Linked DNA regions of Astyanax mexicanus. Each later gene encodes a partner of the first gene's protein in a complex. Links are inferred from orthologs where the notes say so. Each region holds a gene or a part of one and is shown on either strand. Other genes may lie near its edges.

Region 1 (11,431 bases):
TGAAATTCAGTGTCGAGCTGTGCCAGTTCTGGCCCAAATTCAAATCAGATATGCAAAACATATCTGTGCCGATTTGGGCCCGTTGTGCAAAAATAAGCCAGCCCAAATTGGTCTGCCAGATTTGTTACAGATGTTGTGACTCGCCTGGGCCAGATTAGGACCAAAGTAAATTTGCTATCAGGGGTTGCTACTGTCGCATGGGATAATGGCCTGAGAAATAGACCCAAAGTGCAATTTGACCCTATATTCTATTATAATATATGCTATGTTCAAAGGGCAATTATGTACAAAACAAATACACAGTGATGTTTCTCAAATGTGACTGTTTTTTTGAGATGGCTTAAAACTGACTTTTCTTATATTATATTGATATTCATAGGGTCATTATAAAATAACCCACAGTAATATTTGTTCTTCTTCGGGATTTTAACAGTCTGATGCAGGGGTGTCCAAACTTTTTTTGTTGGGGGCCAGAAGGAGAAGTATATTTGAAGTCACAGGCCAAAGACTCTAAAATAAAACAAATAATGAAATATACCAATTTAAATAATACTTTTTTCCTGATTATTTCATTTACACACCATTTTACTTGACTTACTATCTTTATCTTTGACAGTGTTGTGTAAACTAAGATTTTTCAAACTGATGTTTAATTTCATGAAGTCTCTTAATATTAAACTCCTTAATTACAGCAACTTTTAGACTCTGTTTTTCTGCGCTAGAAATGCGCACCATCTCCGCTTTTAGACTCTTTTGCCCCGTTTTTCTGCCCTAGAAATGCACACCCTCTCCGCTTTAGACTCTTTGGCCCGTTTTTCTGCGCTAGAAATGCGCACTCTCCCCGCTTTTAGACTCTTTGGCTTGTTTCTGACACCTATTGTTCAAACTTTGAATCTCACACTATAAAAACCTGCTTAACTGCGGGCCAACTTTCATTTTATTTCTAAAATACCTCGCGGGCCGCTCCAAAAAAGGAAACGGGCCGCAAATGTCCCGCGGGCCGTAGTTTGGACACCCCTGGTCTGATGTATTGTTTCTTAGGTCTGGCAGTTTTTGAGACAATTTAAGACTGAGGAGATAATGCCCTGATAATTAGGCCCACAGTGCAATTTGACCATCAAATTAATTATATCATATATACAACTTCCAATATCATTATACAAAATATCAAAAATAATATTTGTTTATTTTTGGATTTTGACAGTGTGAGGTACCTTATCTTATATCTGACATTTATATTGCAAATTTTACATTCTACTAGTATTTTTTTTTGTGTGTTTTCATTTTCTCAAGTGTGTACCTGTGTGTCTGTATACAAGTTCATGGAACATTCTAATTCCTCCTCTATTTTTTTTTCCACTGCCCCGAGCCGCGGCTTCACTGTCTCCAGCCGTGGCTTAACTGTTCCCACCCGCAGCTTCACTGTCCCCAGCGGCGGCTAGCTGCCCCGCGGCCTAACCTCCCCGAACCGCGGCTTCACTGCCCCGAGCCGCAGCCTAGGACTCCGTTCGGCTGATTAACCGACTTGGGTAGCCCTCGCGTATCTGCTGCGAGACAGTGCGCGCGTGAGAACTTACGCACAACACTGTCTATGTGGTAGGATCGTGACGCAGGACAGTTTCGGCTCTAACCAGCCCTCACCAGAACACGCATATTTATCTTTATATCATATTTATCTTTATTTCATTATTATTATCTTTGTAATCTGGGTGTCATCTCCATCATCATTTCATACACTTCATGTGGCGGAATTCTTCTGAATGTACCACACCTTACAAGGCTCTTCATAAGCGCACATCTAGGTTAAACTCTCCATAAGTCTCAGCAGGCAATCAAACTCAGCATCCATTAAGGAGACGTCGGGCATTTCACAGATTGAACAGGTTGAATCACATGGTCCTGGACAAAGATGCTCTCCAGTTGGTCCATCTACTACTGGCAAGGGTTCAGCCATTTTCTTGCTGTAGATGTAAAAGTTCTCAACGTCCGTCACCGTCCCCATCATCAGTCTCTCTTCTGAAGTCCACATAGGACTGGCTCTGCGGGTGAATGGTACTTCAGTACTGTCTCTTTCTTCTTCTGTTCTTCTTCTCTTTTTCCCAGTCTCCTCACAGTCCTCGCTTCTCTTTCTCTTTTCTGCCTTTTCCCTTCCTGTCCCTTGAACAGACTCAACTGGTCCGAAACCCAGCAGTTCATCAAGATAAGTGTCTAATAGGGAGACATCAGGCCATAAACTGCTTGAGCTGGTGGGACTGGATCTAGGTTCTTCTCCTGGACCATCTACTGGGGGGGCTCTCTCCTCAGTGTTAGTTAGGTTTAAGCTATTAATTAATGTAAAAAAGTATATATGGGGAGCCGTGTGTGTGTGTGTGTGTGTGTGTGTGTATATATATATGTATATATATATATATATATATATATATATACATATATATATACACACACGTCTCCCCATATATATTTTTTTACATTAATTAATAGCTTAAACCTAACTAATTTTATAACGTTTTGTTTCATTATTGACCTTTTTAAGCACTTGTGATGAGTAAAAATGCTGCATAACAAAGTGGACAAACCTTTTTTTCAGTGTTTCCCCCGTCAAGTAATTGAAACCTGCGTGTGATTGGTCAGATGTGTGGAGCACACGCTTGACAGTGGAGACATTAAAGTACCGACTGAGAAAAGGAAGGAGAGCAAAAACACATTGGATAAAAAAAAACTGTCAGCTCTGTGGCACTTGCAGAGCACAAGCGCAACGACAGGGAGGCGGAGAGACAGCGAGATACTGAAGGAAAAAAACGTCTCCTTTTGTGTAGCCGGTTTCAATCATTCACTTCACTAGAGACCCACGTCTCGATGTTGGAGGGAGCAGTAATGAGGAGTGTCCAGTGAGACCGTTTCCTTCTGGACAAACTTTAACTTCGTGTAGTGAAGCTTACTGAGAAATCCTCCTGCATGAAATTGTACGGTAACACTTTACTTGGATGGTCCATTTTATGGCCTTGTTGATGCTCAACTGACATTCAACTAACACTGAATTGAATGTCCATTAAATTTAACTTAACCCTATGTTGAATGTAAATGATTAAAAATAGAATCTAAACGTACACCTAACCCTAACCTTAACCCTTAATCAACCATAAAATCTAACCCTACACCTAACCCTAACTCTAACCTTAACCTAAACTTAAAATCTAATCCTAAACCCAATCCAAAAATATTAAGATAAGTGTTTGGGTTAGAGTTGAATGTAGGGTTATATTCAATAGAAAATCATTTACTTTCATCTTTTAGTTCATTTGCATTTAATAGACATGTAGTTGAATGTTAGTTGAATGTCAGTTGAGCATCAAAGAGGCCATCAAATGGACCATCCAAGTAAAGTGTTACCAATTGTACTTTAACCCATGTCCACCTGGAACCTCATAGCACATGCTCTACCCATAAGCACCACATTGTAGTTATTAATGGGTTTTATGCTGTTGTCTTGTGGCTCATTGGCAGTCATTTATGGTTTATCAAGTTCTATACAAAGTTTGCTGCAGGGGTGTTAGAAATATTCAGAAAATACAGGGATGGACGCCGTGTCGCCGTTCCCATTCATTCAATGAAAAAGAAACCAAAATCTTCCGCCATGTTGTCGATCCTGATACCCGATTCTGCGCAGTAGAGACCAGAGGAAGGAGAAAGACTGTGGAGAGACAGCCTACTCATTTAAATAAACCCGCCCCTGAGGGCTGCCTCGCAGTCACAGACTGCAGAGCGGGGCGGAGCGGAGCTGACGGTCTGTTATTGGTCCCGCCCATAACCAGCCCTTTTACAATAACCACACCTTTTTAAATAGAGCTGAATAAAGTTTTAAAAAACGAATTCTGTGGGGATAATAATAATAATAATAATCCCTTTTAGTCAGCTTCAAATTGTGTCCACAGTTAATCCTGTTGGATGTGATTCGTCCTTCTTGGTGGTATGCTGACATTACCCTGGATACCGTTGCTCTTGATCAAAGGTGGAAAGAGTACAAAAAATGTGTAATTGAGTAAAAGTACCTTTACTTAGCTAAAATTCTACTCAAGTAAAAGTAAAAGTACCCATCTAAAATTCTACTTGAGTAAAAGTAAAAAAGTACTCAATTTAAAATGTACTTTGAGTAAAAGTTACTAGTTACTGTTAATTATTTGAAGTCATAAATTATGTATAGGTGACTATAAACCGTATTTTTATATTTTTACAGTTCATTATTATATTTTTTTTAACTTGCCATTGCTATGCTGCTATTTACATGTTTTTTAACATTCAAGCAGATTGTTTAATGTTCCCAATAAAAACTTAGGCTACACAGCTGATTTAAACAGCGTCTCTCCCGCTAACCGTAATAAACACTGGGAAAAGTTTAGCTGCGCTGGAGAACAAAACTCAGCGCAAACTATGTGTGATAAAATCAGCGGAACATAAACACAGCGTACATTATGAGGCATTTCTCTCACCACCAAGACTTTCAGAAAGGTAAACTCTATTTGTGGACACAGGTTAAGCATGTAACGTAGCGCAGCTTTGATATGTCTCCAGTTTAGTTAAGCGTTGTTTAATGTTTAAAAGGGATCTATGTAATCCATGATCATTAGCTAAGATATTTAGGCTATAGTTGCCTCAATCGCCTGTTAACATCGTGCCGACAGACGCATTTCATACAGCTTTCAGTGCATTTAATATACTAATAATTTAGGCGTTAATGCACAATAGTAGCAAGGGTGTCAAAAGTATTTACATTCATTACTCAAGTAGAAGTACAGATACTGGGGTTTAAAAATACTTTTGTAGAAGTTGAAGTATCAACTCAAACCTTTACTTAAATAAAAGTATAAAATTACTGCCTTAAAAACTACTTAAAGTATAAAAGTAAAAGTAATGAAAGGGGAAAAAAGACCTTATAAACAGAAGCCTAGGCCGCACTACAGGGGCCTATAGTGCGCTACCCCCGATGACTAGATGACTATAAGTACTGAAATGGTGCTTAAAAAAAGTCTTCAGAAATTCTGAGGGATGTTATTAAAATATTTCACAGACAACATAATACCTATCCTTACTACATGCTTTACCAACCAGCTGTAGAATGTAACTTTGCACAATGAACTTTGGACACATTCTATTTGTTGCAGATTAACGTCAATCAAATCTATGGCATATTAATTTACAGAGTTATGCAGTAAACAAAACATAAAAATAGTCAACAAAACCTTTTTTTTTTATATAACTTCTTAAGCTCCAAGCCTAATTTCCGCCTAAAAATACATACCCAAATTTTAAAGCCTTTAACCCTAATATTAAATTATTCAGAGAATTTTAATTTGATCAATTAATATTACAAAATTTACTGAAAACACTTAAAAATATACAATTGAACATGTAATATTCAAAATATGGTAAAAACAAGATTTTCAGTGCTTTTCAGATTTTCTAATTTTTAATTTTAAAATGAAATATTTATAGGTGTGTTTATATAAGTGTTTTTACAGTTCTTTTTTAGCTACAAGGTGTTTACATTCACCATGTAAAATGATAAACTCCTCTCTTTCACGGTTTGGATATTATAGTGATCTGCTCCTGGGATATTTCTTTCTTTCTCCAAAGGACTGGAAACTTTATAAGAACAAAAACTACTAATTTTATAACTTATTTTACAGTAAAGATTGTGTTTCTAGTGTCGGGTTACAGACCCCTCCCCAGATCTGTCTCCGCGGCACCTGATTGGCCGACAGAGATTCACGTCTTTCTTCAGAGAAGACTGTGTTGATTCTGCGCATGTGCATTAGTAAGCTGTAAACCGAGCCAAACCTTTAAATAAAGCGTTAAATTCGATATTATAAGCACTGATTTGACAAAATGAGGATTAGTGTAGAATGGACTGATGGATTTACTTATTTGGAACGATTTTGTGCATTTTGTACAATTGCATCTTTAGTTAAATATTAGTTATAGATAAAAATTTAAATATTTTTCCAATTATAGCAAAAACTATTACAACCCGTTAAAGGGAGTCCTTATTAATCAATGGGGCAAATACAGCTAAAAAACTAGTAATTAACTACTTCTCCAGTATATTTCTTTAATTTTCGAAATGTATTTAGCTAAACAATAAAACTAACAACAAAAAAAAAACACTGCTGCATTACTCCTACTGTGTGCTGACTGAATGGTGAGCTGATGCTTAAAATATAGTCAGAGCTTAAGAGGTATATTTTACTTTATTAGGTTTTTCACTCTACATTATAATTATTATGTGTACAATATATATTATGTAATTATATATACTATTTCTCAAATATTTTGATTAGTAGGAACTACATTGTAGATATGTGCAATCATACAGTAGTAAATAGTAGTAAAAAAGTAATTATATTTATTAGGTATGAAAATCCATTCCCCAAACAATGATAAAATAGGAGTAGGTCAGAATTACATTTAGGATATATGGTCCTGATAATATGTCTTGTAGTCAGAATGATTACTAGTAAACCTTTCATATCTGGTGATGGTGGGGTATAGCTGCTGTGTGTGATTGTGAGTTTAGTGGTGCTGCGTGAACACTGCACAGACATGTGTCCTGTTGCTAGGCAACAGCAACAGCAACAGCAATACAGCGAGGTGAGAGGGCGAGGATAATACTTCCAGCTAATGCTAAATAACTTACAGATAAACAGGTAATTTAGCTAACTACTTTACTAAAAACATCTGTGTTTAATGGATTTGCCTATGATTTCCTTCAGATAACGTAATCATATTGTAGTTACTCGCTAGCTATTGCTTAGCTTAGCTGTGGCCTAAGGCTGGGCTGCCCTGATAGTAAAGAACATTTAACAAACGTTAACATATCTTTTTGGTTGCATTACACTGTATCTTATAATAACGTTATTTATTGAAAACAATCTTTAAACAACCTTTGTTTAACTTTCTCTTCTAAGCATTTGTAAGTGTTAAAATTCTGACTAATCCGACTTATCCTCTGTAACTTACAATGTATTAAGGTAGTTTCATATGCATAAAATATAAGAAATATTAATATTGTACACACACCATTTGTGTGGTAATGATGTTGAGGTCACTATGACTTTCAGTTTTATAAATCTTTTTCTAAATGTCCATTTACTTTAGTCTCTAACGTAACAAAATAATACTCATAGCCTACAACTCTGAAAAACTCTTTACCCACTTAAAATGAAGAGTTTTTTTATTTTATTTTATCAAATTGAAAACCTCTGGATTATAATCAAGAGAAAAATGGATGCTCACATGCCATCAAACCAAGCAGAACTGCTTGAATTTTCACACCAGGAGTGGCATGAAGTTATCCAAAAGCAGTGTGTAAGACTGGCGGAGGAGAACATGCCAAGATGCATGAAAACTGTGATTAAAAACCAGGGTTATTCCACCAAATATTAATTTCTCAACTCTTAATACTTTATGCATATGAACTTATTTTCTTTGCATTATTTGAGGTCTAAAAGCTCTGCATCTTTTTTGTTGTTTTAGCCATTTTTCATTTTCTGCAAATAAATGCTCTAAATGACAATATTTGTATTTGGAATTTGGGAGAAATGTTGTCCGTAGTTTATAGAATAAAACAACAATGTTTATTTTACGCAATTATATACCTATAAATAGCATAATCAGAGAAACTTATTCCGAAACTGAAGTGGTTTCTTAATTTTTCCAGAGCTGTTTAATAAAATACAAAAATAACTTTATGATTATGCCAAACCTGCTGATAATTCATTAAATAAATAAAGTAAATTGCTGGGATCATATTGATTTAGAGAGAAAAAGAGTGTTAAATTTAAGGATAGCAGAAGGGTTAAAGATTTTGAATGTTTGCTTTTAGGCTTTTTAGGGAAAAGTTGCTTTTTGCTCCCCACAATTAATAATAAATTTTTTTAAATATTTAAATCTGGTGGTCATTCAATATCTGGATCAATAGAAATGCTCTAAAATTACATGGAATATTTTTTTCTACAATGACTTAACTGAAGCGTCAAGTGTCAAACAATATAGTAATGACAATACTTAACATACATCCCTCATAATATTTTTTCTGGCTGTCATTATGTTTTAGTCTTTAGCAATATGGACAAAATGAGCATGTGGTATGATAGAATGGGGCACTGCGTGATCAATGAGGAGATGCTGCGAAAAGCAGTTGAAGAACAGGGACCTCAAGGCCGTGCTGGACGAATAGCAAAGGAAGGGGGCATCCAGTATGATGAAGTGATTCAGCTGCGTCTGGAATACAAAAGTAAGAAATTAATTAATACTCTTTTGTTTTTGATGTGCCATGTTATAGGCTCTATGCATGCCAGTCTTCTGGGTCCAGTCTAGTTTTTATGATTTTCTGTAATTGATTAATAAGAAAACAAGTGCAAAAATGCAAAGCCACACTTGAGAGTAGGATCAATGTGGTAAGGATAATGTTTAGGCAAGCATCAGACAGAATATTCAAAAACAGCTACAATGAGTGTAGAAACATGGGGATTTTAATGTTATGGCTGCTTTGTGTAATGTATAATGAAACTAGTTTAAATATTGTGACTGATCTGTGTTTTATCTGCATAGGAATTAAGTATTATGCGAAGTATATAATGATGACAACAGAAAGTTACACATTTTAGTTTTAGGCTTTGTAATGCTTTATATACTCACAGGAATTAGTTTCCAGGAATGAGTCGTCAATTACCTGATATGTAAATGCTAGTAAGTTTGACTTGTGTCCTGGACAGCACCACAGCAGGCAGCAGGGTAGTGAAGAGCCAGGCTAGACAGCACCGGGACACAACAGAAGGTACAGGGCATCTGAATACATGTGAAAAACAGAGATAAAACAGAAAGGAAGAAAACACACAAAAAAGAAAACATCAAATTTAAAACCGTTGCTGAAACTTTCCCTAAATATCATATTATTTAAAGTTATGCATTAATCCTTTGTAACGGTTTCTGCAGAAATCTTACAGATTGACCATTTATGGGAGTTCACATCTCTAACCAAGCTCCAACTTAATAATAACAGCATAGAGAAGATTCAGGGATTAGAGAAGCTCACAAACCTGTTGTGGCTTGGTGAGTTTGAATCTGTTTTTAACATTTACACATAAAAACTTCCTATTGTGAATGTTCTTTATGTTTTGTTACAATTGCTAATCATTGACACAGTTTTCTCTTATCATTTAGATTTGTCTTTCAATAAAATTAAAATGATCGAGGGACTGGAGGCACTTGTGAAACTTCAGACGCTGAGTTTATCCAACAACCAAATTCCTGCCATAGAGAAGATGGACACACTGGAACATTTAGAAATCCTCTCTCTGGGAGAAAATGTGATCTCTCAGATTGATAATGTAAGTTCTGTAGTTTTTAATAGGTGACACAGATCGGGAGATCGCTGGTTTGAATCCCGGTCATGCAGCTTGCCATCAGCTGCCGGAGCCCTGAGAGAACACAATTGGCCTTGCTCTCTCTGGGTGGGTAGACGGTGCTCTTTTTCCCCATCACTCCTAAAGTGATGTTGATCAACACGAGAAGTCTGTAAGCTGATTTATCAGAACCGAGTCACTGTGCTTTCTTCCGAGCGCGCTGTGATGCTACTCGACAATGCTGCATCAGCAACAGTTCAAAAAGAGGCGGTGGCTGACTTCACATGTCTCGAAGGAGGCATGTGCTAATCTTCACCCTGATGGGGGATATACAGCTGACTAGCAGTTGGCCTAGGTAAATTGTGGAGAGAAAATGGGAGTAAATTAAAATAAATCTTTAAAAAAATAGGTGATGTCGATCATTATTGATTTTTGATCAATAAACCAAAAGCATATATTGTAATTGCAGTTCTCCTCACACAATGTCATGCAACATTTCATTGGTTCAATGGATTGCTTGTATGATGTCTGTGCCAGATGCTGCTGGTCATAATCATCACCATCCACTGTGCCTACACAACTTAAGAAATGGAATGGCGTACCCATCTGGCACTCACCATCAGGCTTCGCTCCAACTCCAGTAATTCACATCATCTTGCCATGAGCACTGATGCACTAACGGCCAAATGAATCTTAAATCATTACATTTTTACAGCAGTGTTCCAAAATCTAATTTCAGGTCTAGAGGTGGGGAAAAATATTGATATCGCAATATATATTGTACTGTTTTCATTTACATGGAATCAAATATGGATAACATAGGTGCATATAAAGTCCCTGAGACTCACCTCCAATTTGACTCACTAGATTTAACCCTTCCACAGGTAATATACCTAAGAAGATTTAAGAACTTGCGCTCTCTCAACCTGGCTAGAAATCCCATCTGCCAAGAGACAAACTACAAGATCTTTGTGGTTGCGTACCTCCCAGACTTGGTGTACCTGGACTTCAGGCTTGTGGATGAGCAAACTGTGAGTGAAATATTGATGGGCCATTTTTGTTACACTTATGATTCTTCACATTACAGCAGTAGTTGTAGCTAAAGGGAACTAACGCTTTGACAAGTATCCATAGTTGAATTAATATTGCCTAGGCTGTGATATTAAATAAAGCATATTTAAATGAGGTACAGAAAACATATTATCACCTCACAGTAAAACAGTAAGGTATATAGGTGAGTGAAATACATAGATGCTAAAACACAATAAGCAGAAACAAAATAAGCACAAATAGAGAATATAGAGAATACAGAAAATATAGAATTTCAACTTCCACTATACATACTTTACTGCACTGTTGAAGATATATAAATGTTATAATAATATAAACTGTTGATATACAGATTTATACTAAGTGTTTTTTTTTTTCATTTATGTTGCGTCTGAAGCGAGAGAGAGCTTTAACAGAAATTAATGTGATGACAGACAATGAATTAAAGGAGAAGAGAGCAATGGAGGCTCAGAAAATCACTGAGCAGGAGCTTCAGCTTCATAAGGTAACAATCCATAAAATCATTCCCAAATATTCAGCCATTTTGAACTAATTTTACCAATTTCCACCAATTTACTATATAATCCTAAATAACACAAAATAACATATATATATATAGCACTATAAAATCCCAGTATATTAAAAAACAATATATAGTGTAACTTGTTTAGGTAATGTAAGTATTGTGGTGGAAATACAGGTGATGAAATAAATAAAATAAAAAATGCTCTATGCTTATTTTTAAATCATATGTCACTTGTTTTGCATGCAGTTGGTCAGGTTTAGGTTCAGCCAGAGTATGTGCTGAAAGAATGAGGTCAGCTGACTACCTCAATATACTGAATATAGACCAGGTTATTCCATCAATGGATTTTTTTCTTCCCTGATGACACGGCCAGATTCCAAGATGACAATGTCAGGATTCTTGGGACTGGAATTGTGAAAGAGTGATTTAGGGAGCGTGAGATCATCATTTTCAC
Region 2 (10,813 bases), on another chromosome or scaffold:
AACTCTATTTACAAAGAGTGGAAAGGCTTAAAGAATCCAGTGAACCTGAAAAAAACTTGGCCACTCCCTCAAAAATAATATGCAACAATGTGAGAAAAGTAGTAGTGATTCTGAAGAAATCTGGAAACTTTCTGGACAGCAGAACAGGGTATCTTGAATCTATGTCACCTTCTCCAGCTCCTCCAACTTCTTGAATGTCTTGGTCATATGTGTTTGCATTACTCTGCTTCAGGCTGACGTTCTCTTCACCGCAGATGAGCCAGGAAAAACTTCTTCCCGTGTCATTTCCTCTTTTCCTGTGCCACTTAAAATTGGCTGGCTATAAAAACTAAAGCAAAAAAACAAAACCTGATTGTCTTAGTACTAGAACTTTTCCATATTGGGCTTTGTTTCAATTAGAAACCAAGCTAAAAAAAAGAGAAGGTTTAACCTGCTGGTTTTGGTCTTCTTTTCAGTGAGAACAAAACAGGATGCCTGTAAACAGAAAAATGTCCCACCCGTAATAAACATGAGTAATGAAAGCAGAACGCTGCCCAGATTTGTGTTCCTTTCACAGCGAAATTGAGAAATCCTTGAGGAACAGAAAGACAAAAATGTATCCAATCAAAGTTTTACCTGTCAAACCAAAACCATGCCCAAGGTAAGGAAAGGTCACTCCAAATTTGGTAATATGACCTGGTCAGCTGATTGGACTCAAGGTAGAACTTGTAGAATGTTCTCTCATCATGTTTGTCCACGAACATGAAATAAACAGCAACAAAAACATGTCACCAAATCAGCCTGGTCCTCCCATCACAATCCACAGTTGTCATGGTAAGCAAACACACAAACACGACGTTGGTGCTAGCAGAAGAAAGCACGTGGTCCAAGTTCTCCTGACACTGAACTCTCTTCTTTTATTCCATAAATAGAACAGCCACCAGTTCCGTCACATAAAGCCCCACTGTCTGCTGAGGCCAGAAGCAGACAATGATGGAGCATGAGCCAGTAAGAGCATAAAAAAGTGTGTGTATTCCTATAATTCCTGCAATTTCCACAGAACATCCATGAAGTGGGTCACAGAAACACCATGAAGAGATTAAAAAAAAAAAAAAACTTTTAGGTTTTAGCCCTCAAGTTCAACAGCAGGACAAAAATATCACAGGGCATCCCATAACCAGCCAGCTCTGTTCACCTTTCAGCCCAGGGAGCACTGTATGTGCTTGTTTGCAGGATGGTAGGGAGTGGACGGGGGCCACAAACAAGTGTGGCATCGGTCACTATGCTGACACAGCATGTTCAGTCATGGGCTGCTGTTTGTGGGTGTGTGTGGGGGCATCTGTACAAAGACCAAAAGATTGCTGCGGTTGACACTCAAACACATGACTTCTACTGTCAGGAAACTTTTTCTCTTAAAGCGACAGTCATTTAATTTGCCCATCTTCTCAGATCCACTGAAAGATTTTTCAGGGTTCCTCTAGATTGTTAAAGAGTCGATAATTTACTTAGCAATAGGGGGTGGGCAATATGGCCTTAAAATAACAAGACAATATTTTAGGGTATTTTTTGCGATATGAAAAAACAAAATAAATATTTTATTATTTTAAGCAATATACTACTTCAACTGAATAAAACGTAAAGTTTTATATAGTTGCGAAATCCTCTGTACCCGCTTCTCATAATCTTTGGTTTGAAACAGTCTTAAAGTGCATAGGATCAGAAAAAATCAAATCACTCACTTAAAGCGTCTACAAGACAATTTAGGCAATGTGGACTCCATTTTTATCTTATGTAAAATAGCTGGACATACCTGCAATTCCAGAATGAGAAAGGTTCTTAATTCTTAACTCATATGTTTTAATAATTTGGGTTTTGTTCCTAATATCCAAGACTGGATGCATGATTGGATGATGGGAAGTTAATGGGTAGCGAAGATATTTGGCCCTTGTTAAGGAAATTGTTTTTGATTAAGTTGACTCACACCTTTTTTTCCCCACCCTTTTTTAGTTGTTTAGTCTTTTTACTAGTTTTTTGTTGTATGGTTATGCATTTGTACTGTGCAGCTTATAAACATATTTATGTTGTAAATTCCAAGTACTTTAAAAGCTTTTTAAAAAACTATTTTTTAGTTCCAAACATTATGTAGAAACAAATCTGTAAACTTTTGTCTATTCTGAAAACAGTAAAACAATCTAAATTTTGATTTTGTATAAAATATTAATAATAATGTAACAAAATAGGTTTAACCTAAGAATTAACAAAAAATACACAATACTACTGCGCACATATTTAAACAAAAATTACAAACAAATCACTTAAATCACACTGTGGTATCACAGTGACAGGAAGACATTATAACATTATAACTATTTTTAAAAATAAAAAGTTGGTAAACTTTTTTAAAAGTCCATGTCTAAAATTTAAGAAATGCTGCCCACACAGACAGGATCCTAAAGCAAAACAATGCATTCAGGCATATTTGAACCTTCTATTTTATTGAATGTAAATGCTAACAGACAATAAGAACACTTTTGTTTAATTAGTTTAGTTTAATGCTCATATCTAGCAGTGAGCTCTAGATATCTTTGCAAGGTCAGGACAAATAGTTCCCTTTTGATTTTAACACATAACCCTGCATCAGTGCACTGTCTGCTTAGCGAGAACAAATTAGCAACAAATTATGAAGTGAGCATTTCATGAGTTTCAGACAGTAAAAACAGCAGACTGTAAAAACAGCAGACAGGGAGAAGGCATGGTGCACGAATATGTTTATGTCATGCCCTAATCAATCATTTTGTATATGTATATGTATATGTGTGTGTGTGTTTGTGTGTGTGTGTGTGTGTGGTGATGTAAGGCTTAAATAAAGCTTTTCGGCCATGGAAACGTTTCATGAAGCTCTCTACACTCTACTTTTCTTGAGCTAATCAAAAGTTTGAATGCCGGTAGAGATGTAATTTGGTGACCTCTGTGCACTATTCCTTTCACTGTTCCTTTCCAGTCCCTTCTACTGACTGTGAAATATTTAGCAGTGAGGATATTTCACCTTTGGACAGTTTTACAGGAGGCATCCTGAGAGCGAACCATTCTTTTTTACTAACGTTTGTAGAAGCAGTCTGCATGCCTTGGTGCTTTGTTTTATACACTTGTTGCCATGGAAGTGATTGAAAGGATTAGTGATATTTAATAACCAGATTATTTAATAACCAGTGGGTAGCGCTGTCTCCTCACAGCAAGACGGCCTGGGGTGGCCCGGGTCTTTCTGTATGGAGTTTACACCTTCTGTATGGAGTTTCCTCCCACAGTCCAAAGACGGGCATGTTCGGGCCAATTGAGTATTGGCTGAAATTGCCCCCTAGGTGTGAGTGAATGTGTTCATGTGTCTGTCTGTCTGTCTGCCCTGCGATGCATTGTTTCAGCTTGATTCAACCTGGTTTGATGGCTTGTGATCATCCATTTGTGGACACAAAACACTGCTTTACATAACTACAATTCTTTTGCAAGGAAAAAAGAGAGAAAGAGGAGAAAATGTCCCAGACAGAAAACAAAATGCCCTAAACTGCAACAATAAGTGATATTTGATAAATGGAGGTGTTACCAGTGTTGTCCAAAATTGAAAAAGAAATATATGTCATATATACATATATACACGAACATGTATTCTTTAAGAAAAGAATGGTTTTATGCAAGCACTGAGTGCACAGATTATACATTTTCGTACAAATTTGCTCATCTTCTCCAAACCCTTATGGAGAAGCCCTCGGCTGAATGTATTATAATTCGTCCTGTTCTGAGAGACAGTGTGTGAGGCTGGTGAGAGTTACTGTGTGTGTAGTTAAGGACATGTCAGTGTGACAGTGTAATGAATGTCAGATACTCACTCTCCTCGGGACGCTCCGAGGCCTCGTCCCCCAGCAGCCCGCTGTTAGATTCGTCCCATGTTAAAATCAGCGGAACGTCGTCGTCCATCCCCACCCTGGACTGAAGAAACGCACAGTAAATCCAGTAAACCGAGTCTGGAGTCTAGCGCTGAGAGCTGCGGCACGGGTCACACATTAAACAGGCCAGCTGGCGGTCTCCCAGCGCTCCACACAACTTGGGTGAAGTTTGGACATTGGAGGCTCGGTTCTGCGCAGCAGCGTCTCTAACCGGAGATAAGGCTAATGCACTTTTCTGCAGGAATATGCAGCTGTAAACCCGCGCTGAGGAGCTCGCTGAGCTGTTTAACGCAGATCAGCTCGAGCTAAACCGGCATAACCAGAGATAAGAGTGAAGAAAAGCTCAGTTTAATCCAGTCTGCCGCCGCTTCACCTTCACTGTCTTACAACACTGTTTTACTCTTCACACTACCCTAACACGGGAGTATACACCAGCTTTTTACGATTTAATCCGCTAACTGTGACCATCTTCACTCTCAAACAACTGACACAGGAAAACACCAGACTTTACAAAAACGTAAATAACAGACAACCATTTTACGACACTTGTAGTCCATTGACGACCAAACTTGAGGCATATTTTTCACAATAAAAGTCCCGTTTAACAATATGTTTTCTCGGAATTTCTTGTTTGTTGTTTTATATAAATGGCATAGGTATTTTCCGGTAATTTAAAATGTAAAGTAGAACAAACAAAATGAATAAATAAAAAAACTAACAAAAATAAAAAAGAATTATATTCTTAAAGTAGTAGCATAGTATTACTAGTAAGTAAAACCAATTTTTTTTCTTACCGTGTCGTGTTTTACACATGCAACCCTGATGGCAAAGAACATAAAAAAAAACGTTTTTTCTTTTTTCTTTTACCGTCGATTATGAAAAAACAACCATAAAACAACATTTATGTAATACTGCCTAATAAGAATCGGTTAACAATAAAATCCCATTAAAAACAGTAAAAACGTTGAATTAACGTTAATTTGAAGGTTTTGAACCTTCAAATTAAGAAGGTTGTGTGTGTGTGTTTCCTGACACCTAGCTGTATCATACACACTTATTTTTAGTGTTCTGTGTAATTCGGTTTAAATTCTATTGATTTTTTAAATATATAAAATGTAATATTCACTAGAATTGGCACTGTATCCAAAATATAAATGGTGTGCGTGTCTGCTGCCACCTAGCTGTGACACAGTTGCTGAAATGCTATTGAATTTGTGAATATATAAAATATAATAAAAAATTTGAGCATTTCGCATAATATTAATGGGTGTGCAAGTTTCCTCATGACTCAAAGTATACATCCCCGTTATTCTGATGTTTATGAACCCTAAGGATATGGAGCTAACGTTATTGGTGTTTTTTTTTTTCTTAAAGCCATCTATTCTTATGTGGGAACATTAATAGGCATTTTTATGCACTGAAGTGATTTGGAGGTAAATAAATGAGTGTGTACAGATGTAGAGGTGGTCTAGAAGTACATGCATTTTATTCTGACAGGAAAAGTGCGCTTAGTTTTTCGGTATTAACGCTAAAAGGGCGTTGCGCAAATTTCACCCAAACAGTAAAAGGAAGGGTGTGCGTCACTCTCTGTGGTCGTACTGTCCTGATTATGTAACGTTAAGTATCTGCTGGCTACCATCCTCCGTTCAGAAGTTATTAGAGCCGAAAAGTCGAATATCAAAAATGAAACTAACTTTACCGTGGTAAAAATAACTCCTTTTTTCTTTAAGTAAGAATGCAAAGTTCGTGTATGACTGAATCCAGTGTTTATTGATATAATTGTGTATTATTATATAGAGCAGTGTGTATATCTGTAGAGCTGTATGAACTCAGAAGAGCCTATGTGTTTAAAACTGTCATGGCAACCAGCCATAGCGACCAGTGTATACACACAGCACTGCAGCGGAGCCAGTCTACAAGCAGTTTACCTGAGTTTTACTGACTTCAACTGCCGCAGATCTATAATTACAGCGTTACGTTGATGGGAAAAACCAAGCCACCGCGTAGTTAGTGTTTTAGAGAGTTTTGGAACCGCTCGGCAACAGTGAGTACAGACTGAAGCGTTTTCCCACCTTTGACCTGACCTCTCTCATCTGGTTTCAGCCCACAGCCTAACTGTGTACAGGCTGCTCAGCTAACTAGGTTGAATGGCTGTACAGGCATGATTATTGACCCTCCTATAACTGTGGTGTCATCTGACCCCATTCAGTGTTTAAAGTCTCTGAAAAAGTGTCTGACCTTGTGATTCATATTTATTGTCTTTTCCTAAACTGATGAAGACAAATAATAATAATAATAATAATAATAATAATAATAATATAATATTGTATTTTCAATGTTCTGTTCATATTTTCTAGGTGCTGCAACTAATAATTATTTTGGTAGTTGACTGATGATAATTTTTACGATTAGTCAGCGATTATTTCTGCCATGTTCTCCATCTCTAAAAACAATAGAAAAAGCTGAACATAAGATTTAAATGCCATATAACTGTTTATATGTTGTTTAAACGTGGAAAGTTCTGATATTTCGTGATTAAATATGTAATCTGTTGTGTTTAGGCACTTTTGGAGACACACGTTGAGTGTAAACAGTGTGAGTGAGCCATTTACCCTACTCGCTTTTGTCCCCGGCAGTTTGTGTAATGCGGGAAAAGTCGACAATCAAATTTGTAGTGGACAAAATTAAATCATCGACATTGTTGATTATACTGACTAAAGGTTACAGCCCTATACACCCCAGTGTTATTTAACAGGTTAGCTAAACCCCAGGCTGTTTAATCTGTATAAACATAAGAAAAAAGACATTCAGTTTTATAATCTTTCTCTAAACTTCCCTTCACTTTAGGCTTAAACTTAATAACGCAATATTTGTAATAATGACAGAACCACTGATAATTCATCAAATAAACATGGTTTGGGGCTGCTTTGCTGCAGCAGGGCATCTCAGGCTCTTAATCATAGGATCTACTATGAATTATTGTGATTGACACTTCTGATTGAGTCCAATTGGGTGATTGGGTGCAATTTGAGAACATCTGTGTAAAAACTACATAACTGTAAGGCTGTCCAAAGTATCTCCATTTTTGTCTATTTTTAGTTTATTGCATTTGTAAATTGTAATTTAATTGTAAATTGCTTTTTTGGAGATATATGTTTTTCACTGAACAGCAACAATATGTAATTTAACACAACTTTATTACCTCCATCTCTCTGTATGGCAAAATGAAGATCAGATGTCCATATGTTGAAATATGATGTAAAAGACAGATGTTTAGATGGGGTCCCCTTCTTTTTTCACCTGATTTTATCTCTCTAACAGTTAAAGCATTTTCTTTAATGTTGTTGACATGTCATCCTTTTCTTAGAACTGCTCGTGTCCATGGCATCAGAGACAGATGAAGCACTCTGTGTTAATGAACGCCAAACCGAGACCCCCTCTTCCGTCACCCCCCATAAAAAAACACAAAAACTTTTAAACTTATCTAGGAAGAAACTGGTGTCTTTGGAAAAACAGCGCATTTTGGGAGTTGTGGATGAGTGCATCAGTTTGATGGAGCTGGTGGCCCTGCTGCCCTCTGAATTAACCCACCCTGAGAGCCTCTCTGTAAGCCTCAGAGCAGAAATGACCAGGGCCCTCACTGAGGACCTGCATCTGTCAAAAGCATACCAGGACCTGAGCCTGGACCCTGGAGCCAAAGGACAGGAAGCAGCTGCTAAAGCAGTGCAAGATTCATTACTGAACATTTCACGGCTGCTGAGGGCCTGTCCTACTGCAAAGGTGGGGCTAAAAGGGGCAGGATCTATTGAAGAAGATAGAAAAGGTGTAGAGGAGATGTTAGAATGGTTACAGGACAATAGAGTTGTCCTACTAAAGCGGCTATTTATGACACCTATGGAGGAGAGGGTACGCATTCAGCGCATGCAGGAAGACACTCTGCGTCACAACAGCAACCAAAAGGTGCTTGCCACTCTGGAGAAGGAAGCTGCTGCAGCGGTAAAGGACAGGGATAAAGAGGTGAGGGACAGTCAAGCACTTTGTTTAAAACTTTGCACTATTCACTAGAGATGTACCAAGTTTAATTTTGTTTTTTCAGGTTTTTCATCCATTTTGCTACTTTTTCCACAATTGAAGTTACAAAGCGAAATAAATATGAATTTAACACTTAACCTTTAACCCAGAAGACATACCAGCAAAGTTCAATACAGTTACCTCTGCAGTGCTACTCTAGTAAGAGTTGCCAAACATTTGGTGTATCCCTACTGTTCCCAAAATACTGTTTCAGTGCCCTCTGCAGTCCTTCATTTGGACAGTCATTTCCGGTTGAGAGTATGTACTGTATGTAGAGTGTAAATTGTAAATTGTAAAGCACCCTTGGTTGCCTTAAAAGGTGTTACACAAGTGCCAATCGTTTATTCATTCATTCATTTCATGAATTGACCCCTTAACACTGTTCTCTGAATAGAGTACTAGTATTACATGTATGTTTATTTATGTCATATTTATATTAGACTAGCACCGGAGTGCTAGTGATAGGGCCATTAGCAGTGATTAAAAAACAGTTCTTCAGGAAATCTGCTACTTATGTATAATAGGCCTGCAGGGGGTGTTGTGGAGCCATGTTTGCTCAGATGTTCTAGGAGATTGTGAACCTCCATAGTGCAATGTACATGGGTACCTACCTGTTGTATGCACTGACTTATCCTTTATATGCTATATACTGTGTCGTATTGTGGGATTATTAAAGTTTACATAATACTCTGCATTGTTTTCAGAGACCAATGCAAAACATCAGAACTCCAAAGTAGTGCACAATATGGTACACATGGCACAGTTTTATACATTGTTCAAGATTTTACAGTGTGCTTAAGTTATTGGGGGGGATTTAGAACATATCCTCTCTCTCTCTCAATCTCTCTTTTTCTGTGTAACTAATGAAGTAAACAAAAAAATAGATTTCTGACAGATTTCTCTTCCTCTTTCTCTTATTCAGTGCTTCATTTTTTTTATTTGTCCTGCAAACATAATCTAGGAATCTTATTAGAATTCCATCCTGGATTTTAATGTTATTAAAACGTCATAATAGATATGATATGTCATGTTACTAACAAGACTTTTCTTTTTTCTCTTTTTCTCTTTCTGTCATAGATCAGTTGGATGAACAAAGTGATTCAGTGGCTGAGGAGTTCTATACTCAAGACAGAGAAATGTTCAGACGATTTTGTTGTGCGAAAGCAGAAGGAGGCTGAGAGACACGATGAATCAGTTCAGAAAACCTCAGAGCTGAAACAGACACGACTCCAGGAGGAAGTCAATCAGCTGAAAGTTCAGCTTAAAAACCTCATCATACAACACAGAGATGCAGAGTTGGCACTGCGCAAGGTGTGCTTTTGTGTGTGTGTGTGTGTGTGTGTGTGTGTGTGTGTGTTTAAACTGTTGTTCTGTTTATGTTAATTCATTCATCCTCAATTAGGAACATCACTGTTATTCGAATTTCAATCTGGATATTGTTATTAGATACTAGAGATTAGATGTTATTAGATTAGACTGTTAGTATGTAACTGTATTACCTATTTCCTTAAGGATGTAAAGCTTTGGCATCAGGTTACAACCAATTTTTAGATTTAATGCCAGATAAACTGCTTTTATAGGATGACAGCAAGTTCACTATTGTGTGGGCATGCTCTACACATGGCATATTCTCATATCACTGTTTGCTCTTTTCTACAGAAAAGCTACAAGGTGGAGACTGAGGTGCAAAATTGGATTGAAAAATATGATGCTGAAATGGGAGAAAAACAGGTGAACACAGATCAATGTTATTAATCAGCCAGGACGTAGTGGTATCTGAATTCTGCTTTTTTTTACACTACAAAACATGCACAAATTAATAAGATGTAAACTTAATGGCAAATTATATGTTTTGTTAGGTAGTCTTTAGTAAACATACTTATGTGTTATTAAAAAGTATATTGCACAAGCTGGTGCATTTGCAAAGATATCACTGGCAAGAATCAGGACTAATTTAAAAAAGAAATGACAGTGTACTTGGTACAGCACTATTAGCATATGCTATGCTATAGTATGTGTCATCACAGTAATGTACTCCAGCTAATCACAGCTAAGTTAAGTTGTATTTACACACACAACACAACTGTTAAATCAGTTTAAAAGATACATAAATATCAGCTACATTAGCCAGGAGTACTAAAGTACAAAAATGCTAAATTGTGAACATTTCTTTTATCACTAAATACTTTTTTAAAGGTAATGTTAATGTCCTGCCGATCAAATGTAAGATTAGTGTGTTTTTATTTGAGCAGACGAAGCTGGAGGAGATAACTCAGATTCATGAGGAAGAGATGGCTGAGCTGAGTGAGCTGCAGGAGTACTATGCAGTGCGGGAGCTGGAATTCTCAAAGATCATGGAGGAGCACAGGATAGAACAGGAAAGAAGAGATGAGGAGGAGAGGGAGAGGGAGGTGCAGAGTCGTGCAGCCATTATCATCCAGGCCTTCTGGAGAGGGTGGTGCGTCCGCAAGGCCATGAAGGCCAAAACCAAGGGCCAGAAGAACAAAAAAGGAAAAGGGAAAAAAGGAAAATGAGCAATGGCTACTTAAAACCATTTATTAAAGCAATACAATCATTTGGGTAAAGAAATAAAACGGACTAAATCTTAACTAGTAATGTAATTATTAAGTCCACATGTAATTATTGTTATTAATATGTAGAAAGAAAATTTTGCTCAAAGCACCAATAAATAAAACAAGAAAATATTCCTTTTTTATTATTTTATGTTGTTTTTTTATTCTTGTTCTGTATTTCTAATAGATAACTAAAGACTACTTCAAATCAGTGGTAGCACCGTACCAAAAACTAGCAACTTGACAGTGTCA
Region 3 (11,566 bases), on another chromosome or scaffold:
CATAATATTGTCCTAGACTATTATCATGCATTATCATCACCCCACATTTTTACAGTTCCACAATAAAATAAAATAAAAATAAATAAAATAAAAATAAATAAAAAGATTTAAATGTGATGAAGCATCCCTTACTTAACTTGACAATACATTGGATTATACAAAGATTGTGTAATGAAATGACTATATATCTTTATGTCAAATAAATGGCATTATAGGTACATTTGAATAGAATGTGTTTAAGACTGAACATGACATTAAAGCAAAACATATGTAGAATTAAGTAAATAGCTTAACATGTTGATACTTCACTGACTTGAAAAATAACACCTATCTAATTGCTTCTCTGGGCTTGGCATGCTGATAACTGCCCTGTATCACTCTAATAAAGCTGGCAGGCCAATACTTGTGAGAACAGCTTAATAGTAATATATGGTATATATGGTGTAATATATGGTAAAAAAAAATATTAGTTTACATTTTTTTTTCACTTTTATTGATGTTTCTATATATCTCAGCTTGTACAGGAATATGTGTCCTGCAATCTTGGGTCAGAAATCAATTTACACTTACTAAATGTACAGGAGCCCATTTTTGCAAAATGTTATAATCCAAGCAAATGCAAAACATAATTATTTAGCCCAGACTTATTAAAAATATTGAATGCAAATTTATAACGGTTTATTTATCAAACTGCAAGGCAGTACGAATTGCAAATGTACATTATGATAGCATTACATTACTAACCTTGTCTTTATTTCATATAGACTTAAATAAGGCATGATAAGAATATAGTTCTACATTTAGCAAGTGTTTGAATATAAAGTTAGACGAGATGACTCACAGTGCCACTTTTCTGTAAACGATCAATGTTTAGCTTGCAGGTCAGCCACAGGCGTTTTTCACTCCCAGCAGCAAAATACTGTTTCAAGGTCACAGCACAGTGATGACCAAGCAGATCATATTCTGCACTCTGGCTACACGCAGGCTAGACATCACGATTCTAATGTTTCTTGACAAAGGAGCCAGAGCTTTCTCCTGAATGAGGCAATTATTTCTAATACAATTTGTGTTGAATTAGAACCAGGCGGATATGGGGAGTAAAGACCCCAGTGAAGAAGCAATAGAGATGATGAGACCCCCAGGGAGTGGTAATCCCCTTCCACAGCTCAGCCTGTTAGTGCACTTCTATCCCTGCTCCATGAATAATTGAGCGTGTATTACGGTCAGAACGAAGAGAGTGAATCTTTTCATGTTCATGTTTGTAAATCGAGCCGCTGCAAAGAGCTGAGTCTCCATTCCGTATTAAAAACTGTATTTTATACAGAGTGAAAAAACAGCATATGTCTAATATAAAAGGTTTAACAAGGTTTAGTTTATACTATTCTCTCGAAGTAGTCCTAGCAGTCCAAGCTAAAACACTCCTTATAACCTCAATTTGGACCTAAATTATTGGAGGCTGAAAAAGAGGATATACACTTAAGTAATAAACCCCTCCACATAAATAGTTTTTTTGTCTAAAAAAGGCTTTTTACTAGATTTTGGAAACTTTGCTGCGAGAATTTGATTGCATTTAGCGTTAGACTTAGAGTGATAGTGATGTCAGGAAGTTAGATGGCCACAATTTCACCTCATCCCAAAAATAATGGGTGGAGCATCATCTTTCCAGAGAACACAGTTCCACTGCGCCACAACTTAATGCTGAGAGGCATTATACCCAACACCACACCCTTCTATTATATGATTCTTCAATGAATTATTACTGTGAGTACCAACAAGCGGAGCAGAACTCACCTCTCCCAGTCTATTGCAGGACAGATTTAGCCTCTTCAGAGTTGAGTTGTGCACTAACATGTGGGACAGTGCTGTGGCTGTGGGCTCTGTCAGCTCATTGGCTCCCAGGTGAAGGTTTAGGAGGATGCAATTCTTTAACAGGGCCTGGGCCAAAGCTTGGCCCCCTTCATCCCCTATCTGGTTCAGTCTCAGGTTGAGGGACTCTAAAGGGGTGTTTTTAGAGAGGGCGTGGGCTAAAGCTTGGGCTCCTGGCCCCTTGATTTTGTTGTCATAAATGTCCAACTGCTTCAGGTGACTGCGGTTTAAGAGCTTCCCGAGGGCTCTTGCTCCTCTGTCACCTATGATATTGTGTGAGAGGTCGAGCTCCAGCAGAGAAGGATGATCTAGCAGGTTGCTCACCAGCGTCCGGCACTTATCATCATCCACGTTACTCTGATTGATTTTAAGAATCTGTTCAAGCAAATGAAACAAAAAAAGGTTAAATTAAAAGGTATGATTTAATACAATGGCCCAAAATGAAGTAAAAAACATCTGACTGAGATGCTATACTATGGTAAACAAGATCAGAAATTTTTTTTGAACCTTCAAAGTTGTGCACGATTGCAGGGCCTTGGCCAGGAACTGACAATCACTGAAGGTGAACTCGAATAGATTCCATTCAAAGTTCATGCCACACCCTCTCACTCCATAAACCAACTGCAGTTCCTCCAGGTTGGTAAGCTTGTTCAGCAGGATTCTAAAGTCAAAGTGGTCTATTGATGGCCCATCATCGCCCAAATCGCTGGCAGATTCTGAGGCATCATCTTCATTGAACTTTGGTGGTTTTCTGATAGGTGGCAGAAGCTGAGTTATCTTTAGCCTCCTAACATAATTCTGACAGAGTGGCACAACATCCAGCACTGATTTGGGCTCAGTTTGGTCGGGAATGAAAAGTTCAATAATGTTCTCCAGATGACGCTCAAAGAACATGCGTTTCCAGCTGAGGTCATACTCAGAAACATCCCTCTGGCCCCAGCGGTCCTCACAGCAGCGTCTCCAGTAACCCTCATCACTGATCAGATTGGCTGTTAGGCTCAAAGGCAGGAAGGTAGGAAGCTTCTCCAGGACAAAAGCCTTCTGACTAGGCAGGAGCTCATTCAGAATAGGCTTCTCTGAAACATTTTAGAGCACAAATCAACAAATGCTGTAAAACACTGTGAAACATAGTATATACTATATACTAGTCAAAGTACCTGATTAATTATATTATTACTTAAAATCTATCATTAAAAAGTGTGTGAATAATGTCTTAATAGTAGTAGAAAAAGAAGATTACCTTCAAAATGATTCACTATGTGCTGTAGACATAAGTTTTTTAAGGAAGGCACAACAGCAAGAGACCATTCTGGGTCTTCAGCAATAATTCTTCGCATCTTTCGAGGATCTGCAGCAGGATTGAGCATCTTTACTGGTGGGTTAATGCCAGCTGGAGCTTTGCCCATGGACATACTTATGACTGGCATTTCTTTGTTGTCACAATACACAAGGGCTGAAGTCAAGTCTTTAGATGAGTCCTCTCTTCTTGAAAAAGTAGAAAATAATGAGACAAATTTACTCTGGAGATCCCTTTACTTTCCAACAGGCCACTGGAGCACAGATGTATACTGCTGTTTAACCCAGAGAATTCCTTATTTAAAAATCTGCATAACAAAATTTAAAATAATAGAATGGGATTAAGATGTGAACAGTCGGATTGGATTCAGACTTGAATTGGTTGAAAATGTTTGGTTTTAGAAAAACTTTCACAGTCAGAATTGTTCACAGCAGTGGTAAATAAAAGAGTTTAATGCATCTAAAACTTCCTCAGAGAAAGTGGTAACGACAAATGCTTTAAGAAGATTTTGGAGAAAATCCATTCATGGTGGAGGGGTACATGAAAATTGTTATAAAGCACAACTGGCCTCAATAACAGACATTTTAAGATTAAATACGGTTTACCATAATCTTTACCATTACAGTAATTTGTTTTTATTTTTTATATAGTCATGGGGGATGCCTGATTCTTATCATGACACGTGTAATGTAATCAGAGTTGTTGAGTTCCTACAATGAATCATTTCATGCCAAATCCCTCTCAGAATGACTGTTAACATCTCAACCATTTAATTATTCTCTCACACATGGTTGGACAAGTCTTATTTTAAACCCAATTTCCACCAATCTGGGAAACTGAGAAAACTCCTGAGAAACAGCCCTTGAATTTTTTCACTTTGATCTAAATACAGTCTGAAGGACTTTCTGACTCATCACACCCCAGTCTTATCAAAACGACATACATATACAAAATGTGTAAGATCTTTTTTTTTCTTAGCTATATAAATCTCTTCTTTATCTCAGACATATGTTAGTTTTCTATCAACTGTGCATTTCACAGTTTGTCATGAATGATCTTACAGGGAAACACTTTAAAAGAACATTTTAAAAAGTCCTGTAGTAAATTGTAAGTAAATTTCAGTCAATTGTCAGCCATAGACCAAAAATATAACTGCTATATATATAGACCACAATACACAATAGTCACATTATCGACTTAATGGATGTGATCCCAATAATTTTAGCAGTCCTTAATACTGCCCATAACGTTGATCTTAGCAAGAAGAGCCTATTAAAGTGTGTGAGCTGGTATTTGTTTAAACAAAGGTTTTATAGCTAACTTAAATTATTTAAAGTTCCCTGCTCTTTTTAAAGTCTGTTATTATGCTATTATATAATCATTAACTACATCGGTGGTATAAAAGGCACAGAAATGATTCAGCCCTACTGAATCTAGTTACCTAGTTAGGTTAGCTGGGTAAGATAACCTAGGTTAACGTTATTGCTACACAGCAGACTAGAAGGCAAAATGACAGTAAATTGAAGTGAACGTAATGAGTAAACAGAGTACAATACTGTGGAGAATAATGTGTTTAATGTGGGTATTGCTGTGGATATTCCTAAAACAGACACGCTGAAGAAAATCTACTTATTTACCTTCCGTTCTCCAGAGTTCACCGCCAACACAAGAGTCTCCAGTCGTTATGGCGACAAGGAAGCGCTGTGATTGGCTAGTAGTCACAGAGTAGGGGGGACTTAAAAGGACATGTGTACTTTCTTTCTTTAATTTATTTTCTACATTGTAGATTAATGTTAAAGACATGAAAACAATTAAGACAAACATATGGAGTTACGTAGTAAAGAAAAAAAGTACATTTTACAGCTCTGGAAAAAAATAAGAGATCAATTCATTTTCTGTATCAGTTTCTCTGATTTTGCTATTTATAGGTATATGTTTGAGTAAAATTGAACATTGTTGTTTTATTCTATAAACTACGTAAAACATTTTTCCTAAATATCAAATAAAAACATTGTAATTTAGAGCATTTATTTGCAGAACATGAGAAATGGCTGAAATCAGAAATCAATATTTGGTAGAATAACCCTGGTTTTTAATCAGAGTTTTCATGCATCTTGACATTACTTTTGAATAACTTTGTCATTCCTGGTGCAAAAATTCAAGCACTAGTTTTTAAGTGGTTTCTTACATATATATGGACTGTGAACTAAACTTTTTTCCAAACCAGAACACTACAATCTCAAACTACCCCATCAGCCCACCTATATGCAGATATTTACATAAACCTGCAAAGTATCTTTTCTGCATTTTCCATTTTCTATACAAATTCTACTTTATTTATTAATGGACTTTTTAAAATAGTTCAATTGGGGTTTCCCCATCCTGTCTCAGTAAACTTTTAGAATTAAACTGTCTGAACTGTCATATTTGTTTTGAACAAATGAACCTGCTGACTGGGATTGGCTAATTAATGGCCATGCACTGCTGGTACTGTGGACCAATGCACATACATTAAACATTAAAATATTTGAATAGGATTCTATTAATAGCTCTTTTAGCAGCCCACACACAGAGCGTCCCACCAGGAATTGTCCCGGTACTCCCTATGGCCAGTACATCCCTCATCTCAAACCATATACATGAAGAGCAAGTTTTTATTCCAGTTATTCCATTATTTATTTTATCAATATATCATATTCTCATTGTTTAAGTTCCATTAACCCTAAAACAGAACACACTGACCATACATAACATGCTAAACTGTTATTAATCAACACAGTTTTGTTAAGAGCAGGATTTATAGCAGAAAATAAAATGTAGGGAGTAAGATGATTAGGTGTTAAAAAATCATATGTAGCAAAAAAAAAAATAGACAGCCAAATCAATACCACCAAACCAGACCCCAACAAAACAAAAACCAAGGAAAACTGTAAACAGGAAACAGTATAATCCTCTCCTAGCCATGTAACCATTAACTCTCATATTGAATACCATTCTGTCCCATTTTAATTCTAGTTCTCTTTTAAGAGATAAGGTAGCTTCTTATATCCCATTAATTTTCATTTATGCTAGATAATTAATAATATGTAAAGCACTGAGAGAAAAAGTATTGGCCCACTTTTAAATTGCAAAAACGCTGAGGAAAGAAACTCCCAAGGCTATAGACATTTTATGCATTTATTAAGAAAAGATATTCAGCACTTATTCCCCCGGGTAAAAAAGAGAAATTGTTCAGATGAATAGGAAGGTTAATCCAGTCCTGTAAAGACTCTGTAAATCATTTTCAAATCACATCTGCTAGTAAATAGCAATCCAGAGCTGGCTAAGTGCCTCTCAGTGTACACAGTGCTTAATTCCACTTGAAAGAGATGCTAATTTAGGGAATGAGGGGGTCTGAAGTGGGTCTTCTTCAGTAACACACTCTCAGCTCGATTTCTCTCAGAATTAAATAGGGAACAGAGCACAAATCTGCCAGTTAGCAAAGTGAAGGTCTCACACACACACACACAAACACACACACACACACACACACAGTAGTAGACGTGATAACAATCTAGAACATCATCAGTGTGAAATTAGACATGGGGATATTTGCAAATCTATGGGAATGGAAAGGTGTTATAAGACGCAGCATTTGTGAGAGATTTTTGTCTCACACTTGGTTAAAGAGAAGCTTGACTACAAAGTTGTGGAAATGTCTGTTGTGTAAAAAAAAGCCACTTGTGAAGCACAAAGCTTTGGCGTGACATCTGGGTGTGAAGCCACTTTGTGAAAACACATCTGAAACAAAATAAAACACTTTGATCCTGTGAGGGTATTTTTAACTACATAACTAAAATAAAACCTCAGGTGGTTCATTTGCACACAGTTTGCTTTCAAGCTTGCTTTTTAGGCTGAATGTTAGATGAACTAATTTCTCTGGGAAAGAACCTTCTGCTTAATCATCTGACAGGAAAACAGGAAAATTTGCTGGAATATAAAGCCCCTTTCCTAATCTGAACTGCCCAATAGAGCCATTATTAAAGAAGACATGGCCCTATTTTTTACCAGTAGTGTAGCAATAACAGTGGGAACCCTGAGTTAATGCATTCTGAAAATTTATGTCTGCAATTTTCATTCATTAGAATAATGCGTGTGTGAGAAAGAATTATATTATTATATTATATGCTATAAGGGTTCATAAAAGGAAGAGGGGTGTCAAATCTGTCCACTATGGGCTGATGTGGCTGAAGGTTTTAATTGCTGCCAAGTAGGGGAGAGCGGGGTAATGTGAGACATCGGGTAATGTGAGACACCCCTTGTATCATGGCAACTGAACACAATTGTGGTCATGTGACCATTATGTTGTCAAGTCCCTCCCATTTCCCACTACTAGGAAGAGGAAGTTGTTGCTGGTGCTGTTAAGTTTTGGTTTTTTTTCACAAAAAGGTGTTTTATGCATTTAAAAGTAAATTTTCTTGCTTTGAACTTAATCAACTATTTTATCAAAGTAAATTGATTCAGGTAGAAAAACTAATATCATACATGCTTATGAACGTTCAACATATCAAACCATGTGATTGATGCTAGTTGAAGATTAGCCTGATTTGCTAGAGATTATGTTTTTTTCTAAAATGGTAGCCGTGGGGTTAAGTGAGACAAATGCTGTGGGGTAAAGTGAAACACCGTCCCAGCCAATTGGACTTAGAAACATTGTGCAGGTAGGCTAGCGTGTGATTACATAGATAAGAGATTACATGACTATATGATTCTGTAGGTTAACTTTCCAAAAGCAAAATCTATACTAATGAATACTGTACTTTTTAGGAAAAGAGTGGTTTGGAAGATTCTTAGCACGTCAACATCTCTCTGTATGAACTCCTGAGGCAACATCCCTGCGAAGGGCTACAACTTTCAATAAAACAACAGTGAGGGAGTTCTTCGAAAATCTCGCTGTAGTAATGGACTGGTGACAGAATCAATTCTTTAGCTGCATAAGTTTTATGGAGACTTTACCTGTAATTTTTGGCTTTGATTTCAATAAGGTTCTTCCCTTGTCTCTCATCTTTAATAGACACGCATTCCCTCCACACATGATTTACAATGGGGATGAAACAGGTGTCTTTACAGTTCAAAAACCACAGCAGGTGCACTATACATGATATAACAGACTAATAGTGAGTGGGTTGTGATAATGACCAGTGAAACTTTGAACTGCAAAATATTAATGGACTGAATCTCCATGATTCTAACACTAGTCCGATATTAGTTATGGAATGTGTGGTTGTCAATCTAGCTGTAAGGATTGTAATTGTTACAAAATGTAATGTTAATGGTAGTGTACAAGTGGAAAACATAAGTGGAACAGCACACCCCCAACTGGTTCACTTTACCCCCTTAATTTCTCTGGTCTGTCTTAGTTTACCCCTGAGTTGGGGTAAAGTGAGACACAAGACCACAAACATATTTTCATTGCCCTTTGTCTTGAAGACATTCTGATAACTTTAATAGCTAGGAAACATCCTGAATTAATTGGAAAAAATTAAATTTTACTTATATATCATTGTAGCTCAGCTAGCAAGGGGCAAATGTAAAAAATGGCTCACATTACCCCACTCTCCCCTACTGATTAAACCAGTAGTATCAGGCTTGGTTGCTTAGAATGATAGCTAATAGCCAAACAGACCATTTAAAGAGAAGATTGAACACCCGTCAAAGAAGAACTATTAATACCTACAGATCCATGTTTGTAAGCAAGATCTATCTGTGAATGTGAAGAACCTTGACATTGGTAAAGAACCTTTACATTGAGTGCAGATTTATTAAATCCTTAAAAAGCTTCTTGATACTCAAACATTTATAGTACTACATATAGAGTGGTGTGAAAAAGTGTTTACCCCCCTTCAAAATTATTATTATAAGTCAAAGGCAAGTAAACACAAAATGCAAATTTTAATGATGAATTTTATTATTAAGGGAGAAAAAAATTCCAAACCAACAAAGGCTTGTGTGAAAAAACTGTTTGCTACTTAAACCTAATAACTTCAACTTGAGGTCACAAACAGATGGCCAGACATTTTTCTTCTCCAAGATTCATGGTTCCATTTATCACAGCAAGTCTTTCAAGTCTTTCAAGCAGCAAAACAGCCCCAGATCATCACACTACCATTTTTATACTGTAGGTATAATGTTCTTTTATTGAAATTAGGTGTTACTTTTATGCCAGAATATGACACACCTTCCAAAAAAGTTACATTTTTGTCTTGCCAGTTCTCTCATTTTTCACATGTCTTAAGGATCATCAAGATGTTTTCTGGCAAAACTGAGACAAGTTATTTTTGCTCAGCAGTGTTTTTTGACTTGGCACTCTGCCATGGAGGCCATTTGTACAGTCTCTTTGTTATGGTGGAGTCATGAACACTGACCTTAACTTAGGCAATGAGGCCTGCAGTTCTTTGGATGTTGTTGTGGGGCTTTGAATGAATCGTTGTTGTGCTCTTGGGGTAATTTTGGTCGATCGCCTCCACTGTGGTTCACTGTAGTCCCAAAACTTCTTGGCTTTGTGATTTTTTGATTGAAAACAGGTGCGAGAGTGATCAGGCCTGGGTGTATCTAGAGAAACTGAACTCAGGTGTCAGAAACCAGTTATGTTTTTTCTCCCTAAATAATAAAAACATTAATTAACCAACAGCATGTTGTGTTTACTTGTGTTATCTTTAAATATTATGATCTATAACATTTAAGAGTGACAAACATGCAAAAAAAAAAGATATCTTGAAGATATCATGGACAAACACTATTTCCCACTATTTCACTGTATCTCATCTCTTATAGCAAATACATCATATATCTCAAGTTATTATCTCTAAAATATTAGCTATATTGCCCAGATTTGCAGTGCATGAGATCCATTTATGAGGTGTTGCTGAAATTTTGGCCAAAACAGCTCCTACTACAACGCCCACTGTCACACTTCACCCAGCACTGTGTGTCCACAGTGGCGGCACCCAGGCGAAACTGTCGGCTTGCTTCAGTGCAAGTTCAACAACCTTCGAACCCCAAACAGCCTCAAGCTCTGCACTGCAAAGACTTCTGTAGTATTTTAGCATTAAAGGAATAGTTTGATGAAAAACTCAACCACTTCTGCCATTGTGCAGCAACATTAATGAGATGTAGAAGAGGTGGAGCGAAGAAACAAGGTGTAAAGAAGTTGTAGATTGGGAAATAGGGCAGTAAGAAAATGAGGTGAAGTAATGAGGTATTGATGAGATGGGGTAAAGTAATGTGGTATTGAAGTGATAGACTAATGGGGAGTCTATGAGATGGGGTGGAATAATGGTGTGTTCAGGGTATGGGGTGCAGTAATGAGAAGTTGAGAAGATGGGGTGGAGTAATGTGATGTTGAGGTGATAGGACAGACTTACAGGCAGTCAAGGAAATAAGGTTAGGTGTAATGGTGTGTTGAGGTGTTTAAATAATGGGATGGGGTGTTTAAATAATGGGACAGACTAATGAGGTATTGATGAGAAGGAGTAAGGGAGTGTTAAGGAGATGGGGTGGAGTTATGGGGTGATTAAGTAATGGGATAGACTTATGGGGCATCAAGGACATGAGGTTGGAATAATGAGGTGTTGATGAGATGGGGTGGAGTAATGGGGTTTTGATGAGATGGGGTGGAGTAAATGGGGGGTGTTGATGAGATGGGGTAGAGTAATGGGGTGTTGATGAGATGGGGTGGAGTATGGGGGTGTTGATGAGATGGGGTGGAGTAATTGGGTGTTGATGAGATGGGGTGGGGAAATGGGGTGTTGATGAGATGAGGTAGAGTATTGGGATGTTGAGATGGAGTGGAGTAATGGGGTGTTGATGAGATGGGGTGGAGTAATGGGGTGTTGATGAGATGGGGTGGAGTAATGGGGTGTTGATGAGATGGGGTGAAGTACAGTAATGGGGTGTTGATGAGATGGGGTGTTGATGAGATGGGGTGGAGTAATGGGGTGTTGATGAGATGGGGTGAAGTACAGTAATGGGGTGTTGATGAGATGGGGTGGAATAATGGGGTGGAGTATTGGGGTGTTGATGAGATGGGGTGGAATGATGGGGTGGAGTATTGGGGTGTTGATGAGATGGGGTGAAGTAATGGGGTGTTGATGAGATGGGGTGGAATAATGGGGTGTTGATGAGATGGGGTGAAGTAATGGGGTGTTGATGAGATGGGGTGGAATGATGGGGTGTTGATGAGATGGGGTGGAATAATGGGGTGTTGATGAGATGGGGTGGAATGATGGGGTGTTGATGAGATGGGGTGGAATAATGGGGTGTTGATGAGATGGGGTGAAGTAATGGGGTGTTGATGAGATGGGGTGGAATAATGGGGTGTTGATGAGATGGGGTGGAGTAATGGGGTAAAATAATATGGTGTTA

What was found.
Region 2: drc3 (region 1) and iqcd share a complex: the UniProt entries of both Homo sapiens proteins name them as parts of the nexin-dynein regulatory complex. The link is inferred for Astyanax mexicanus from reciprocal best matches to the Homo sapiens genes DRC3 and DRC10.
Region 3: drc3 (region 1) and tcte1 share a complex: the UniProt entries of both Homo sapiens proteins name them as parts of the nexin-dynein regulatory complex. The link is inferred for Astyanax mexicanus from reciprocal best matches to the Homo sapiens genes DRC3 and DRC5.

What each region holds. Positions count from the first base shown.
Region 1 is NC_064426.1:31,308,020-31,319,450, reverse strand, and holds the start of drc3 (dynein regulatory complex subunit 3), read left to right. Parts: upstream 1-5,742; 5' UTR 5,743-6,701; intron 6,702-8,110; 5' UTR 8,111-8,121; coding exon 8,122-8,290; intron 8,291-8,991; coding exon 8,992-9,108; intron 9,109-9,219; coding exon 9,220-9,386; intron 9,387-10,285; coding exon 10,286-10,432; intron 10,433-10,848; coding exon 10,849-10,956; intron 10,957-11,431. UniProt on the Homo sapiens protein: Component of the nexin-dynein regulatory complex (N-DRC) a key regulator of ciliary/flagellar motility which maintains the alignment and integrity of the distal axoneme and regulates microtubule sliding in motile axonemes.
Region 2 is NC_064408.1:34,840,962-34,851,774, reverse strand, and holds iqcd (dynein regulatory complex protein 10), read left to right. Parts: upstream 1-5,276; 5' UTR 5,277-5,620; intron 5,621-5,781; exon of another isoform or gene 5,782-5,961; intron 5,962-6,451; exon of another isoform or gene 6,452-6,512; intron 6,513-7,284; 5' UTR 7,285-7,298; coding exon 7,299-7,934; intron 7,935-9,065; coding exon 9,066-9,299; intron 9,300-9,647; coding exon 9,648-9,719; intron 9,720-10,240; coding exon 10,241-10,522; 3' UTR 10,523-10,691; downstream 10,692-10,813. UniProt on the Homo sapiens protein: Component of the nexin-dynein regulatory complex (N-DRC), a key regulator of ciliary/flagellar motility which maintains the alignment and integrity of the distal axoneme and regulates microtubule sliding in motile axonemes.
Region 3 is NC_064408.1:85,884,314-85,895,879, forward strand, and holds the start of tcte1 (dynein regulatory complex subunit 5), read right to left. Parts: upstream 4,865-11,566; 5' UTR 4,801-4,864; intron 3,352-4,800; 5' UTR 3,294-3,351; coding exon 3,107-3,293; intron 2,943-3,106; coding exon 2,374-2,942; intron 2,242-2,373; coding exon 1,792-2,241; intron 1-1,791. UniProt on the Homo sapiens protein: Component of the nexin-dynein regulatory complex (N-DRC) a key regulator of ciliary/flagellar motility which maintains the alignment and integrity of the distal axoneme and regulates microtubule sliding in motile axonemes.